3 linked regions of the Saccharomyces cerevisiae S288C genome follow. The protein of the gene in region 1 interacts with the protein of each later gene in a biochemical or structural test. Each region holds a gene or a part of one and is shown in the gene's direction. Other genes may lie near its edges.

What was found.
Region 2: the proteins of ATG9 (region 1) and ATG11 form a complex in vitro, tested with the Saccharomyces cerevisiae proteins (3 studies listed by BioGRID).
Region 3: the proteins of ATG9 (region 1) and ATG17 form a complex in vitro, tested with the Saccharomyces cerevisiae proteins (3 studies listed by BioGRID).

What each region holds. Positions count from the first base shown.
Region 1 is NC_001136.10:183,325-188,828, forward strand, and holds ATG9 (autophagy protein ATG9), read left to right. Parts: upstream 1-1,600; coding exon 1,601-4,594; downstream 4,595-5,504. Other genes in the region: RPC53 (DNA-directed RNA polymerase III subunit C53), read left to right, coding at 19-1,287; snoRNA-binding rRNA-processing protein NOP14, read right to left, coding at 4,830-5,504. UniProt on the Saccharomyces cerevisiae protein: Phospholipid scramblase involved in autophagy and cytoplasm to vacuole transport (Cvt) vesicle formation.
Region 2 is NC_001148.4:660,305-666,465, reverse strand, and holds ATG11 (autophagy protein ATG11), read left to right. Parts: upstream 1-1,792; coding exon 1,793-5,329; downstream 5,330-6,161. Other genes in the region: mitogen-activated protein kinase SMK1, read right to left, coding at 1-186; YPR053C (uncharacterized protein), read left to right, coding at 223-678; NHP6A (high-mobility group nucleosome-binding protein), read left to right, coding at 492-773; peptide alpha-N-acetyltransferase MAK3, read right to left, coding at 976-1,506; TAH18 (NAPDH-dependent diflavin reductase), read right to left, coding at 5,413-6,161. UniProt on the Saccharomyces cerevisiae protein: Involved in cytoplasm to vacuole transport (Cvt), pexophagy, mitophagy and nucleophagy. Recruits mitochondria for their selective degradation via autophagy (mitophagy) during starvation, through its interaction with ATG32.
Region 3 is NC_001144.5:971,085-975,149, reverse strand, and holds ATG17 (protein kinase regulatory subunit ATG17), read left to right. Parts: upstream 1-1,979; coding exon 1,980-3,233; downstream 3,234-4,065. Other genes in the region: mRNA splicing protein SPP382, read right to left, coding at 1-1,755; guanine nucleotide exchange factor DCK1, read right to left, coding at 3,455-4,065. UniProt on the Saccharomyces cerevisiae protein: Autophagy-specific protein that functions with ATG13, ATG29, and CIS1/ATG31 in response to autophagy-inducing signals as a scaffold to recruit other ATG proteins to organize pre-autophagosomal structure (PAS) formation.

The sequences.
Region 1 (5,504 bases):
GGATAGCATTCATTAAGTATGAGCAGTAATAAAGGAAATGGGCGCTTGCCATCATTAAAAGATTCCTCCTCCAATGGAGGAGGATCTGCCAAGCCCTCATTAAAGTTTAAACCAAAAGCAGTTGCAAGAAAGTCCAAGGAAGAAAGAGAAGCAGCTGCGTCCAAAGTAAAGCTAGAGGAGGAATCTAAGAGAGGTAATGACAAGAAACATTTCAATAACAAGAATAAAAGAGTAACCGGCGCTGGCGGCCAGCAAAGGCGAATGGCCAAATACTTAAATAACACACACGTTATCTCTAGCGGTCCATTGGCGGCTGGGAACTTTGTAAGTGAGAAGGGTGATTTGAGAAGAGGATTCATCAAATCAGAAGGAAGCGGGTCATCTCTTGTGCAAAAGGGCCTGGAAACTATTGACAATGGTGCTGAGAGCTCTGAGAATGAGGCAGAAGACGATGATAATGAAGGTGTAGCGTCCAAATCTAAGAAGAAGTTCAATATGGGAAAAGAATTCGAGGCACGCAATCTCATAGAGGACGAAGATGACGGCGAAAGTGAAAAGAGCAGTGACGTCGACATGGATGACGAAGAATGGAGATCTAAACGGATTGAACAGTTATTCCCTGTGAGACCTGTCCGCGTAAGACACGAAGACGTTGAAACTGTCAAAAGAGAAATACAAGAAGCTCTTTCAGAAAAGCCAACTCGTGAACCAACCCCCAGTGTGAAGACAGAGCCTGTCGGAACCGGATTACAATCTTATTTGGAAGAAAGAGAAAGGCAAGTCAATGAGAAACTGGCAGATCTTGGACTTGAAAAGGAGTTTCAATCGGTTGATGGGAAAGAAGCGGCCGCTGAGTTGGAATTATTAAATGCAGATCATCAGCATATATTACGAAAACTAAAGAAAATGAATAATAAACCAGAAAGATTCATGGTATTCCAGTTACCTACTAGGTTACCAGCTTTTGAAAGACCCGCTGTGAAAGAAGAAAAAGAAGACATGGAAACCCAGGCTAGCGACCCTTCAAAGAAGAAGAAGAATATTAAAAAGAAGGACACGAAGGATGCTTTGTCTACTAGAGAACTTGCCGGCAAGGTTGGGTCTATACGGGTTCACAAATCTGGAAAACTTTCCGTGAAAATTGGAAATGTGGTGATGGATATTGGCAAAGGTGCCGAAACCACATTTTTACAAGATGTTATAGCATTAAGTATCGCTGATGATGCATCCTCAGCGGAACTTCTAGGCCGTGTGGACGGTAAAATAGTAGTCACACCTCAAATCTAATCGCACTCGCATCTGTCGAGTATATAAATGAATATACACAGTCATAAATACTTCTAGAACAAATTACACTAATTAAGATGCTTAGATTCCCATTCAAAAGGTACTATTGACGTCTTGTCTTCTACAATTTCTCATCCTCTTTGAACATTGGTAATGTTATTCTAGTTATTGTTACCCAGTTTCGGAACTTTAGGGGAGCCACACTTTAAACAAAAAGAAGCGCCATAACCACCGTGAAGTAATGAGTATCTCACTTTGATAAGAAGACATTTAAGAACAGCCTGAAATATCAAAATCACGGAATTATTAGGTTATGGAGAGAGATGAATACCAGTTACCCAACTCTCATGGGAAGAATACTTTCTTATCGCGAATATTTGGTTTACAATCGGATGAAGTTAATCCTTCTCTTAATAGCCAGGAGATGAGCAACTTCCCTTTACCAGACATAGAGAGAGGCTCATCTTTATTGCATTCTACTAACGACAGCCGCGAAGATGTAGATGAGAATGACTTACGTGTTCCTGAGTCTGACCAAGGCACTAGTACAGAAGAAGAGGATGAAGTAGATGAAGAGCAAGTCCAGGCGTATGCTCCACAGATTAGTGATGGATTGGATGGAGACCACCAGCTAAATTCTGTAACGAGCAAAGAAAATGTACTTGAAACGGAAAAAAGCAATTTAGAAAGACTGGTTGAAGGCTCTACCGATGATTCTGTGCCCAAAGTCGGACAGCTTTCGTCAGAAGAAGAAGAGGATAATGAGTTCATAAATAATGATGGATTTGATGACGATACGCCCCTTTTTCAAAAAAGCAAGATTCATGAATTTAGCTCTAAGAAAAGCAATACTATAGAGGACGGTAAACGACCTTTGTTTTTCAGGCATATCTTACAGAATAACCGCCCTCAACGTGATACCCAAAAGCTATTTACTTCGTCGAACGCCATTCACCATGATAAGGACAAGAGTGCAAATAATGGTCCCCGTAACATTAATGGTAATCAAAAGCATGGCACTAAATACTTTGGTAGTGCTACACAACCTCGGTTTACCGGTTCGCCCTTAAATAATACAAACAGGTTCACTAAATTGTTTCCATTAAGAAAGCCAAATTTACTGAGCAATATATCCGTTTTAAACAATACCCCGGAAGATAGAATCAATACGTTGAGCGTGAAAGAGCGGGCTCTGTGGAAATGGGCAAACGTAGAAAACCTCGATATATTTCTTCAAGATGTTTACAATTATTATCTGGGAAATGGGTTCTATTGCATCATACTGGAAAAAATATTGAATATATGCACTTTGCTTTTTGTTGTTTTTGTTTCTACATATATGGGTCACTGTGTTGACTACTCCAAATTACCGACTAGTCACCGGGTTTCGGATATTATTATCGACAAGTGTTATTCTAATAGTATAACGGGGTTCACAAAGTTTTTCCTTTGGATGTTTTATTTCTTCGTGATTCTCAAAATTGTTCAACTCTACTTTGATGTTCAAAAATTATCAGAATTACAAAACTTTTACAAGTATCTTTTAAATATATCGGATGACGAACTTCAAACTTTGCCCTGGCAAAATGTGATACAGCAGCTAATGTACTTGAAGGATCAAAACGCTATGACGGCAAATGTTGTGGAAGTCAAAGCCAAGAATAGAATCGACGCGCATGACGTTGCCAATAGAATCATGAGAAGAGAAAACTATCTCATAGCACTTTACAATAGCGACATCCTGAATTTATCCTTGCCTATTCCATTATTTAGGACCAACGTTCTGACAAAAACACTAGAATGGAATATTAATTTATGCGTCATGGGCTTTGTGTTCAACGAGTCCGGATTTATTAAACAAAGTATTTTAAAACCTTCTCAAAGAGAATTCACGAGAGAAGAATTACAAAAAAGATTCATGCTGGCAGGATTTCTTAATATTATATTGGCACCATTTCTGGTCACATACTTTGTTTTGCTTTATTTTTTCAGATATTTTAATGAGTATAAAACTTCTCCTGGATCTATTGGTGCTCGTCAATACACACCAATTGCTGAATGGAAATTCCGTGAGTACAATGAACTTTACCATATTTTTAAGAAAAGAATAAGTTTGAGCACAACCTTAGCTAACAAGTATGTTGATCAGTTCCCGAAGGAAAAGACCAATTTGTTTCTGAAATTTGTTTCCTTTATTTGTGGATCATTTGTGGCCATTTTAGCTTTTCTCACTGTATTCGATCCAGAAAACTTTTTAAACTTTGAAATCACCTCGGACAGATCTGTCATTTTCTACATTACTATTCTGGGTGCTATATGGTCTGTAAGTAGAAATACAATAACCCAGGAGTACCATGTTTTCGACCCCGAAGAGACGCTCAAGGAGTTGTATGAATATACACACTATCTACCAAAGGAATGGGAAGGAAGATATCACAAAGAGGAAATCAAACTAGAGTTCTGTAAATTGTACAACTTGAGAATAGTAATACTTTTGAGGGAACTCACTAGCCTGATGATAACACCGTTTGTACTTTGGTTTTCGTTGCCCTCGTCAGCCGGCAGGATTGTAGATTTCTTCAGAGAGAATTCTGAATATGTGGACGGATTAGGTTACGTTTGCAAGTATGCTATGTTTAACATGAAAAACATAGACGGTGAAGATACACACAGCATGGATGAAGACAGTTTAACGAAAAAGATTGCCGTGAACGGAAGTCATACACTCAACAGTAAACGAAGGAGTAAATTTACCGCCGAAGACCATAGCGATAAAGATTTGGCAAATAATAAAATGTTACAATCATATGTATATTTTATGGATGATTATTCCAACAGTGAAAACTTAACAGGGAAGTACCAATTGCCTGCAAAAAAAGGCTATCCGAATAATGAAGGCGATTCATTTCTCAACAATAAGTATTCTTGGAGAAAGCAATTTCAGCCAGGTCAAAAGCCGGAGCTATTTAGAATAGGTAAGCATGCTCTCGGCCCTGGCCATAATATTTCCCCTGCTATATATTCTACAAGGAATCCCGGCAAGAACTGGGATAACAATAATAATGGTGATGACATTAAGAACGGGACCAATAATGCTACAGCTAAAAATGATGACAATAATGGCAATAATGATCATGAATACGTACTAACAGAGTCTTTCCTTGATTCGGGCGCATTCCCTAATCATGATGTAATAGACCATAATAAAATGCTAAACTCAAATTACAATGGTAATGGCATACTCAATAAGGGTGGTGTCTTAGGACTTGTTAAAGAGTATTACAAGAAGTCTGACGTCGGAAGATAAGGCAGACTGTGTCGTGTACATCATCCAATATAACTATATATATAACTGTTTCCTTTCTTTTTCGTATTTACCTAAATGCATATATTATTCAGTTCCCACTAATTTTGTACTACAATAATAAGAGAATCCCTTCCCTGTTTTAGAAATGAGTAGTTCTTTTCTTTTTCATAAATAATACAGTTGTCTCTGAGAAGCCTAATAAGAAAAAAAGAGGTTAATAAATTATTATTATTGGTTATTTCTTTCCGCCACGTAGTTTTCTTTCTCTTTCATACTTGTTTTTTTCCGCACCTTCTTCGGTATTAATAGTGTTAACAATATGAGCCATCTTTGCATGGTAGTCGCTGCTCTCCTTGTTCTTTTCTTCAATTCTTTGTCTAGCTTCAAATTTGGCGTCTTTACGGATTTCTTTCATAGTGAATTTACGTTCCTTCTTTAGTTGGGCCTTCATCTTATTTATCTCACTTCTTGTTCTATCAGGATCGTACGATTTTTTATCAGGATTGAAGTTTTCTTCGTATTTAGGAGCATGCGTAGGTATGGATACGGGTTTGTGGTTCTGTAAAGCCAACGGAATATGTTCTGTGAATTTCGTTAATTTTTCAACTTTGTTCAAAATATTTCTTGGCTTTTCAAAATCAGAATACTTTGAGGTGTATGCACTTAATAACTGCTGAATCGGTAAAATAATTTCATTGAAAGCAGGTAAGCTCTTCCACACAGTAGAGATAGTTGCATCTAAAGATTCCATAACATTTAGTAAAACGGAGACACATTGATCAACCGGATGTGCCTCGGTATCCATTGTTGACAAGGTATGTAATGGAATAATAGTTGATCTCTTTTTTGTAAAGTCAACGTCCAATGGAAGCCCCAACTCGTAAGAGTCTAGTCTAATATTTTCAAAATC
Region 2 (6,161 bases), on another chromosome or scaffold:
TGGGCTTCGACCCTTAAACTTCACTGAGCACACTGTCCCATAGGCTCCCTTGCCCAGGAATTGGATTATCTCGTAGTATCCTGGGATGGATATTCTCTCCTTGGCAAAAATCGTCCTCTGTTGAGGAGCACCGAGGTTGGAGGCCACATTTATGGCTCTGGTATTATCTGTAAGTGTGCAATTCATTCTTGGAGCGTTGAGCACGTCTACATTTCTATCGATATGATGTATCGCACGACGTTAAATACTGTTCAAGTGTCACAAATTAGTGGCGCCGAATTCTACCCTCACGCCTCGTCGCGCGCGATACTTTTCGAATCACCCGCCTTTTGCCGCCTATTTTTTTCGCCGTTCGTTTATTTAGCGGTGGGCAAACAAACAACACAGTATTTATTACTGGTACCGACTGTTAAAGAAGGACTGTTTTGGGACGTGTTTTTTTCCTGTTTTTGCTCAATTGACTACCCTATACATAGTAAAGCACAGTCGCAATGGTCACCCCAAGAGAACCTAAGAAGAGAACCACTAGAAAGAAGAAGGACCCAAATGCCCCTAAGAGGGCTTTGTCCGCCTACATGTTTTTCGCTAACGAAAACAGAGATATTGTTCGTTCTGAAAATCCAGATATCACATTTGGACAAGTCGGCAAGAAGTTGGGTGAGAAGTGGAAGGCTCTAACGCCAGAGGAAAAGCAGCCTTACGAGGCCAAGGCCCAGGCCGATAAGAAGAGATATGAATCCGAAAAGGAGTTATATAACGCCACTTTGGCTTAGGGATACTTCCTCCCCGCGTTTTTGTCTGTGTGATTTAATTTCTTTTCCTCTTGTTCTTTTTGAAACTTGCTTTATTATCTCTCTCCTTTCTATTCCTCTTTTCTCTACTGCCCTTTTTCTATATCTATACATATGATTAAATAAATAAATAAAAAAATTGTATTATTAATATATATTTTATCATCATCGAGTGTTTTTCCTTTTATGTGGCCAGCCGGCCATGCATTAGGAACGTAGACCGAGTGCAGCTCTTTTCAGTCAACGGCAATATCAGTTTAAAGGCGTCCCCTTCATTCAAGTAGTAGCGGAACATCCGTTTCATTCTGATGAAACCCATTCCTTCATATAAGTTTAGAGCCGCCGAATTTTCCACCTCTGTTTCTAACATGATCTCATCGCAATGTTCCCTTTGCATTTTATCTATGGCAATTTCCACTAGTTTCTTTGCTATGCCATGCCCGCGGTATGTGGACTCTACGGCTAGCATTCCTATATATCCTCTCAGTCTCACGTTTCTATGCGGGTCCATCTTACACACTATGCAACCAATGGGTATGTTAGGCGTTCCACTCTTGTTGTCAACGGCAATGTACGTTAACTCGGGCCATTGGTTCAAGAAATACCTATATACGTATATCGAGTACGGCTCTGATAGATCCGCATCTATTAGTTTTTTAATACTAGCAAACTGCTCTTCGTTACGTATGTCCAATGGCTTGTACACTATTTCCATGTCCTGACCCAACGCCTTTTCTGTAGTAGTGGCTTTTTTATCTTGTAATCTCTTGTGAAACTTTGTTCTTCATGATTATTATTTTTAATAAGGCTTGCCATGGAGAGCCTTTTTATCGCTTTTGGCTACCCGGTTTCTTGGTAGGAATGGAACTATATAATAGCGATGCCCTTATTTGAGTACCATTTTCTCAAATCAGAACCAAAGTAGTCCTCCTTTGAACAACGATTATTTTAGTGTACTGTTGTTGTTCGGAAAGTACTTCTTTTATTTTCTTTTATACATCATGGCAGACGCTGATGAATATAGCACTGCACCTACCCAGCAAGAAATAACACCACTGCAGACAACAGCCACTATCATAAATGCAATATCTGGAGAATGTATAACTACGAATGTTGATTTTTTCGTTTCCCTGGACAAATTTAAACAGTTCATTGCTAGGAAATGGAAGATTCCTCCCGATCAGCTGCTGATTCTACTACCTTATGGTAACAAACTAAAACCGTCGATGTTTAAAGAGCTGCTTATTAATAGGTCTTTTACTCTAAATGATTTTTACGTTTACGACAGACGACTATTCTCACTTGTTAGTAAACCGACACCAACAAATCTTTTAACGTCTAAGGATTCTAATCCCATGAACTCCCCTAATTCCAACGACTTGACAGAGACTCTGGAATATTTAATTAAGAATAGTCATATATCTCAATACCAAGGTAGCGATACTATTATGATCAAGCCTATGCCCTCGCCTTTGGAGGACGCAGACGTAGATCTTTCGCGTTTAAATTACCATTCCGTAACTAGCTTACTGACGACGAACCTTGGTTGGCTAAGCGCTTTAGAAATAGATGTACATTATTTTAAGAGCCTCATACCAGACATAATAGCCCATATTAAGCGTATTTTTGATGGCTTAACCGTTTGCTCACAATATTTGAAGCTGTACTGCTTTGATGTAGAAAGTTTGTATAACTCAAACGTTCAATTTTTAAATCAGCTGGTAGACAATGGTATGACTTCAAAATGGGAAAAATGCTTCAATGACACCTTGAGTAAGTTGACTGCTTTAGAGGGTGATTCTTTACAAAAGTTCATTAATATTGAATCTCTCCTGGAGAACGAAAAATCTGTAAAGATTCTAAATCATTCAATCAATGGTAAGCTGAATAAAATTAAGAGGGAAATTGACGAAAATGCAAGTTTTAGAGATATTATAACAGTAAACATCGATCGACTGCGGCAAATGTTTACCCCGAATGAATCTAAATTCGAGCTTGAAGACCAAATGGCAGAGAGCTTTGAGGTACTGGTATCAGAAATGCGAACAAGAAGCAGAAATGTACTTGATAAAGAAGAAGAAGAATTCAATAGTCAAGAATTTTTGAAAAGCATGAATGTGATGTTGGAAAAGGATAAAAAAGAATCAGTGAAAACTCTCTTCACTATATCACAAGCGCTGTATTCACAAATAGGAGAACTAATAGATTTAAAAAAAAGTCTACAAAAGCATGCAGTAGCCATTTTGGGTAACATAGCATTCACCCAGATGGAAATCCTAGGTATTAAAAGACTATTATTGAATGAATGTAATAAAGATTTAGAGCTATACAAGAAATATGAGGTAGAATTTGCACAGGTAGAAGATTTGCCTCTGATATATGGGCTTTATTTAATCGAAAAATATCGTAGGCTATCATGGTTCCAACAAATTTTGTCATTTATCTCAAATTTTAATCAAGATTTAGAGTTGTTCAAACAAAATGAATTACGAACAAGAAATAAATGGGTTAAAAATTTCGGTTCCATCGCGACTGTTTTTTGCGAAGATCTATTGTCTTCCTCTGATTTCAAACGTCTAAACGAATATCACTCTCATACTTCTCCACCAAATGAAGATGAGGAAGATGAAAATGAGAATTCTATAGCAAATTACCGCCAAGACCTGGTAAAAGTATCGCAAGCCATTGATAATTATATGACGCAAATTAAAGAAACAGATGTTTCTGAACCGATCATTGATCTACTTTCGAAAACACTTTTTGAGACGAAGAGATTTCATATAATATATTCCAATTTCAAAAATAATAACAATAATAGTTCTAATGGCAATAGCATTTCCCCTGAAGGGTCTATTGCCTTGAAAAGTGATGATGTAGTCAAAGGATACAAAACAAGAATAAAAAAATTAGAATCGCTATTACATGAGTTTCAATATTCCGACATAGGCCATTGGCCTCAAGGTGTTCTCAATACCCATCTTAAGCCATTTCGTGGTTCTGCTACGAGTATAAACAAGAAGAAATTCCTGGGAGCATCTGTATTACTAGAGCCTGCCAATATTTCTGAAGTGAACATTGATAGTGTTTCGCAAGCTAATAATCATCAAATTCAAGAGTTAGAGAGTAATGTGGATGATCTATTACACCAACTTCAACTATTGAAAGAAGAAAATAATCGAAAATCAATGCAAATTTCGGAAATGGGGAAAAAAATAAGTGATCTAGAGGTGGAGAAGACAGCTTATCGCGAAACTTTGACTAATTTGAATCAAGAATTGGCAAGGTTAACTAATGAAGAACAATCGCATAGAACTGAAATTTTTACCCTCAATGCCTCTTTCAAAAAGCAATTGAATGATATAATTAGCCAAGACAATGAAAAGATAGAAAAGCTAACAGGTGACTATGATGATGTTAGCAAATCGAGGGAACGATTGCAAATGGATCTGGATGAATCTAATAAGAAGCATGAACAAGAGGTCAATTTGTTGAAGGCTGATATTGAAAGGCTCGGTAAACAAATTGTGACTTCAGAGAAAAGTTACGCTGAGACTAACTCAAGCTCGATGGAAAAAGGTGAGAAATTCGAAACCATTCCTCTTGCTGAGGACCCAGGTAGGGAAAACCAGATATCTGCATACACACAGACTCTGCAAGATAGAATATTTGATATAATATCGACAAATATTTTCATTTTGGAGAACATTGGGTTGCTGTTAACCTTCGACAATAATAATAACATCCAAATTAGACGAGTCAAGGGATTGAAAAAGGGAACCGCCCAAAGTAATATACTGGATGAAAGCACACAAATGCTGGACGCACATGATAATTCTCTAATAAAAAGTCCGGTTTTCCAGAAATTGAAAGATGAGTATGAATTAATAAAGTCAGTTGCCAATGGATCTGAAAAGGATACACAGCAAAGCATTTTTCTGGGGAATATCACTCAATTATATGACAATAAGCTTTATGAAGTTGCCGTTATCAGGAGATTCAAGGATATTGAGACCTTGGCCAAAAAATTAACTAAAGAAAATAAGATCAAGAGAACGCTATTGGAGAGATTCCAAAGGGAAAAGGTGACTTTGAGGAACTTTCAAATTGGCGATTTAGCATTATTTTTGCCAACACGAGAAAACGTTAATTCTGTCGGGTCTATGTCGTCTTCCACCTCATCATTGAGCTCATCATTTTCATCTGTTGATTTATCAACTCCACCGCCTTTGGATGCTATGTCTATACAATCGTCTCCCTCGGTGATACATAGTAATGTAATCAATCAAGCCAGTATATCTGGCAGGGACAAGAATAAACTGATGAGGCCTTGGGCTGCATTTACAGCTTTTGAAGAAAGCACAAGATATTTTTTAAAGGACGAAAAAGGATTGACGAAGGGGAAAGAATGGTTTGTAGGCAGAATTGTCACTTTGGAACATTTCGTAGCAGATAGCCCCTCTAATAATCCATTTAGACTACCAAAGGGCTCAGTTTGGTTTCAGGTCACTGCGGTTGTGGTTTCATACCAGGGAGTTTGAACAGTGCTAAACGTTTGTCACAAATGACAAGATTTTAATTATGTATCTATTTAACATTATAATGCGATAAGTCTTGTTATCGACTACCAAGTTTCCTGGATATATCTATCAGATTTTTCCATTTCTTTCAGGTATTTTTTGGCAGTTTCTTCATCACTAAAATTGCCCCATTTTTTTAACATTTCAATGAATGTTAATCTGACTTGGATAGGCATTTTACCTGATGAGCCACATAAGAAAAAAACGGCGTCTTTATTAACTACCAAATTAGTTATTTCCTCACCTAATCTCCATAAGTAGTCTTGGACATATTTAACACCTGGTGAATTTTCCTCATCTCTGGAAAAGGATGAATGTAAGGCAATTTTGCCCTTACGGAACCAATCTTCCAGCATATCTTTATAAATATAATCTTTATCTTTATATCTACAACCGAAGAGGAGTTTGATATCTTTAGATATCTCCGCTTTAACCACTGATAATAATGGTGCTAGACCGACACCCGGTCCGACAAGAATCATAGGTTTATTCAAAAATTCCTTTTTGATTATGTGATTATTTTGTAACTTATACCTTATCTGTTCCCCCTCTTGCAATCGTGCAATGTAGTTAGTGCAAATTCCTCTTCGAATTTTCCTTAAGATAGTTTTATATTTTACTATCGCAACTGTTAATTCAATATTAGGATCCCCAGGGCCGCTAGATATAGAGTAGTACCTTGGTTTAATGATGGGCAAGTAATCTAGCACATATTTCCAGGGCAACTTTACGGAGATAAAATCTTCCAGTACTTCAAGAATTGACCTTCTGGGTCTATTACAGTAGTCATATA
Region 3 (4,065 bases), on another chromosome or scaffold:
TTTATCAAGGTGGTACCTATGAGACATAGCGAATATATTATAGCTTTTTCTGATCTCCGATAGTTCTATTTCTGTTGGTAAAGAGTGCTCAAATACCGTATTCATCAGCCAATTAAGCCACCACTTTGACTTGTGTAAGTCTTCCACTGTACTATAAAGATGCCATTGATAGAGTATTTTGTTTATATTATTAAAGGTTCCCCGCATCATCAATTCATACTGTTTTGGATGAAAATAATGGGTATAACTTCTCAGTTTTTTCATAAAATAGAAAAATCCAGAATCTTTTTCTTTCCATTCCTGTTTTTCCTTCCAATCCTCTAACTCGTAGATGGGGTCATTATGTCTTTCCCACAGCTCGTCCAGGAATTTAGGAAGAAACTCTTTACATAAAATTTTGTAATATCTTCGTTCGCAGATAAGTTCTTTGATAAATATAATATCAGAATTAGTGATACAAAATGATTCCCTATGGTACCAATTTTTACAATAAGCAAAAAATTTTGCTTCAATCTTGTCCACAATTGTGTCTTTGATCTTATCGTCAATTAAAACCATAAAATCCAAGACCCATATTCTTGGCGAAACATGGTCTACTTCATCGTGAAGTTCCCAATTATCTAATTCCTGTAATAGCTTTGGATAGACGAATTCCTCCATGATATGCTCTTTACACCCGATAAAACTTAGCACTTGTTGGAAATCCAGTAATAGGGTGATAGCGCTGTCGATTTTTGATTTAGTCATATCAAACCCTTCCCAAAATTTTTTGAGTTTGGGATATATAACTTTAAAGATTGTTGTTTGTGTCCTGTTCAAAAATTTCGAAGTTGTATCCATTCTATATGCGAGTAGTTCTATAATTTGCGTTAACTCATCAAGTATATCGTTTGGCTTTTCTAAATGATCCAAATCAAATTCTATTAGTAATTCTTTTCTCAATAAGCAGGACGTTAGCCTATCTATGAGCTCGTCGTCGGACAATTTTAAAATAGCACCAATCTTATCATACAGGGAAACATGCTTGCTTTCGTCCCTCAAAGTAACCTCCAATTCAGAAAGAAGCCTCTCTTGTCCATAATATTCTTTGACTTGCACTTCTAACGGAGAGGTGCGCTGACGAATAGCTTCCAAACTTTTTTCAATACCCAGCAGCTCTTGCAATATCTCCACAACAACATCTTTTTTCGGCTTTGGTACTGCATTTAAAGGGTCTAATTCTTTTAGGATACTCTCTGGTAATTGTACCCCTGCTAACCTCAATTCTCTCAGTGTTCGCACTATAGTCATATCACCACTATCATTTAACAACGCTTCGCCTAAAACCTCCGTGGAGGTTTTATTGAATTTGACTTGTTCTATACCTTCAACCACCTCATCCTCAGAGCTCAAGTAATCCTCATTTTCACTGTGATAGTTACTGGAGTTGGTATTTGAAAACATTCCTAGACCTGCATTGTGCATAGGTCGGCTTTGGGTTTCTATTGGTGTAGTTATACCAGAACCATCCTTCCCAAGGCCTTTTCCCGCAACATATCCCATACTCGAAAGTAACTTCGCACCAATACCATATGTCTTCGTTAATTTTGAGATCGTTGGGGCATTGCCGCTACTAGTTTTCAAGGCATCATTAGTGTATGTCATGTCACTATTCATGCTTGAATTATTATCTTCCTCATCGCTATAATTATAGGAATCGATTCTTCTTTTTTTGAAAAAGAACTTTTTATCTGTGTTGGAGTCCGAATCCTCCATGTTTTGGCGTACTGAAGGCTTAAGTTCTTCGACCTCTCTCGGTTGTACTATTTCGAAATTTTGGATTTTTGTTATTGTTTTGACATAATGTAAATACTAGATGCGCGCTCTAAGGCCTCAGTATTAAAAATTGCAAGATATCCCTAACTTGATAATTATTTGAAAGTCGCATAACGTACGATAAATTCGATACTGCGAGGATATTATCAACGTATTTAACACCTATGAACGAAGCAGATGTTACAAAATTTGTTAATAATGCCAGGAAAACGCTGACCGATGCTCAACTTTTATGTTCAAGTGCTAATTTAAGGATTGTAGATATTAAGAAAAAATTGTCATCTTGGCAGTTGAGTATTTCAAAACTCAATTTTCTAATAGTTGGCTTGAGACAGCAAGGAAAGTTTCTTTACACTATTTTAAAGGAAGGCATTGGGACAAAGCTAATCCAGAAACAATGGAATCAAGCTGTCTTAGTGGTCTTAGTTGATGAGATGAAGTACTGGCAATATGAAATCACTTCTAAAGTACAAAGGTTGGATGGTATAGTAAATGAATTGAGCATATCAGAAAAAGATGATACCGATCCCTCTAAACTAGGAGATTACATCTCGAGAGACAACGTTAACTTATTGAATGACAAACTGAAAGAAGTGCCAGTAATTGAGCGTCAAATTGAAAACATTAAGCTTCAATACGAAAATATGGTCAGAAAAGTTAACAAAGAACTGATTGATACCAAGTTGACGGACGTAACTCAAAAATTCCAAAGTAAATTTGGTATAGATAACCTGATGGAAACAAATGTTGCAGAGCAGTTTAGCAGGGAACTAACGGACCTTGAAAAAGATTTAGCAGAGATAATGAATTCATTGACACAGCACTTTGATAAGACATTGCTGTTACAAGATAAAAAAATTGATAACGATGAACGTGAGGAGCTGTTTAAGGTGGTACAAGGCGACGACAAAGAACTATACAACATTTTCAAAACTCTGCATGAGGTAATTGATGACGTGGACAAAACAATTCTTAACTTGGGTCAATTTTTGCAGGCAAAAATAAAGGAAAAGACAGAACTACACAGCGAAGTTTCTGAAATAATAAACGATTTCAATAGAAATTTGGAATATCTATTAATCTTTAAAGATATTTCCAATCTGATTGATAGCTTCAAAAATTCCTGTACACAAGATATTCAAACAACTAAGGAACTTTGTGAATTTTATGATAATTTTGAAGAAAGCTACGGTAACTTAGTTCTAGAAGCAAAGAGGAGAAAGGATGTGGCAAACAGAATGAAAACTATATTGAAAGATTGTGAAAAGCAGTTGCAGAATTTAGATGCTCAGGACCAGGAAGAACGTCAGAATTTTATAGCGGAAAATGGAACTTATCTTCCTGAGACAATCTGGCCCGGTAAAATTGACGATTTTTCTTCCCTGTACACTTTAAATTACAACGTGAAGAATCCTTAGAAAAAAGGAAAAAAAGGATACGGTACAAAGATTCAATAATTGTATCAATATTTCGAAAAATACTTTATCAAAAAAGCAATACTTGAAGGAGAAAGGAAAAAATTCGCTGTCTTCTTCACTTTTACGACAAAGAAAAATGTGCCCTTTTCAACTAAAAGTCATGAATGAATAAATAAATGATTACATATGCGTATATTTTATAGTGAACAACTTCTGACATATTATCCCGAATGTGAGTAATCATGCTTGTGCTGTGAATCTGTGTTGGTGTTTGGCTGTGACCCTGCCAAAAAGGTGCTCGAAGTGCCGGAAACAATTCCACTTTTATCCAAACTGCTCGTAGTGGACGAGTGGGATAACGTTCTTGTTAAATATTTTCCAAAAAGTAAACTGTTTGGGCCAAATGAGTCGCTATGTTCTAATACAAATTGGCTATGATTGGACCCTGAGGTGTGATGATCCCTTCCAGAAAAGCTTGCCTTTTTATTGGGGTTCTTGTGCGAAATTATTCGAGCAGTAATCATGTTATTCCTGCTACGATTGGCCTCACTGAGAGTACGACTATATCTTTCTATCTCCTCAGCGAAATTTTCCTCAAAAAGACGCACTAGAAGATCATGTGATGGTTTTAGATCCTTTGATGGTAGTAGTTCTGCATGCAACGTTAGACAGCGACCTAATACTGCAACAAGCTCATCAAAAGCTAGCGTCAATCTTCCTAAATCATCAGTACTGAACTGCTTGGATGTGGAGGGTTCTAAAAAGGCCTTGTACTGTGATATGCCTCCATTAACTGGAGCTGATATTGTTCCCGTAATATTTGTAGAAAGCT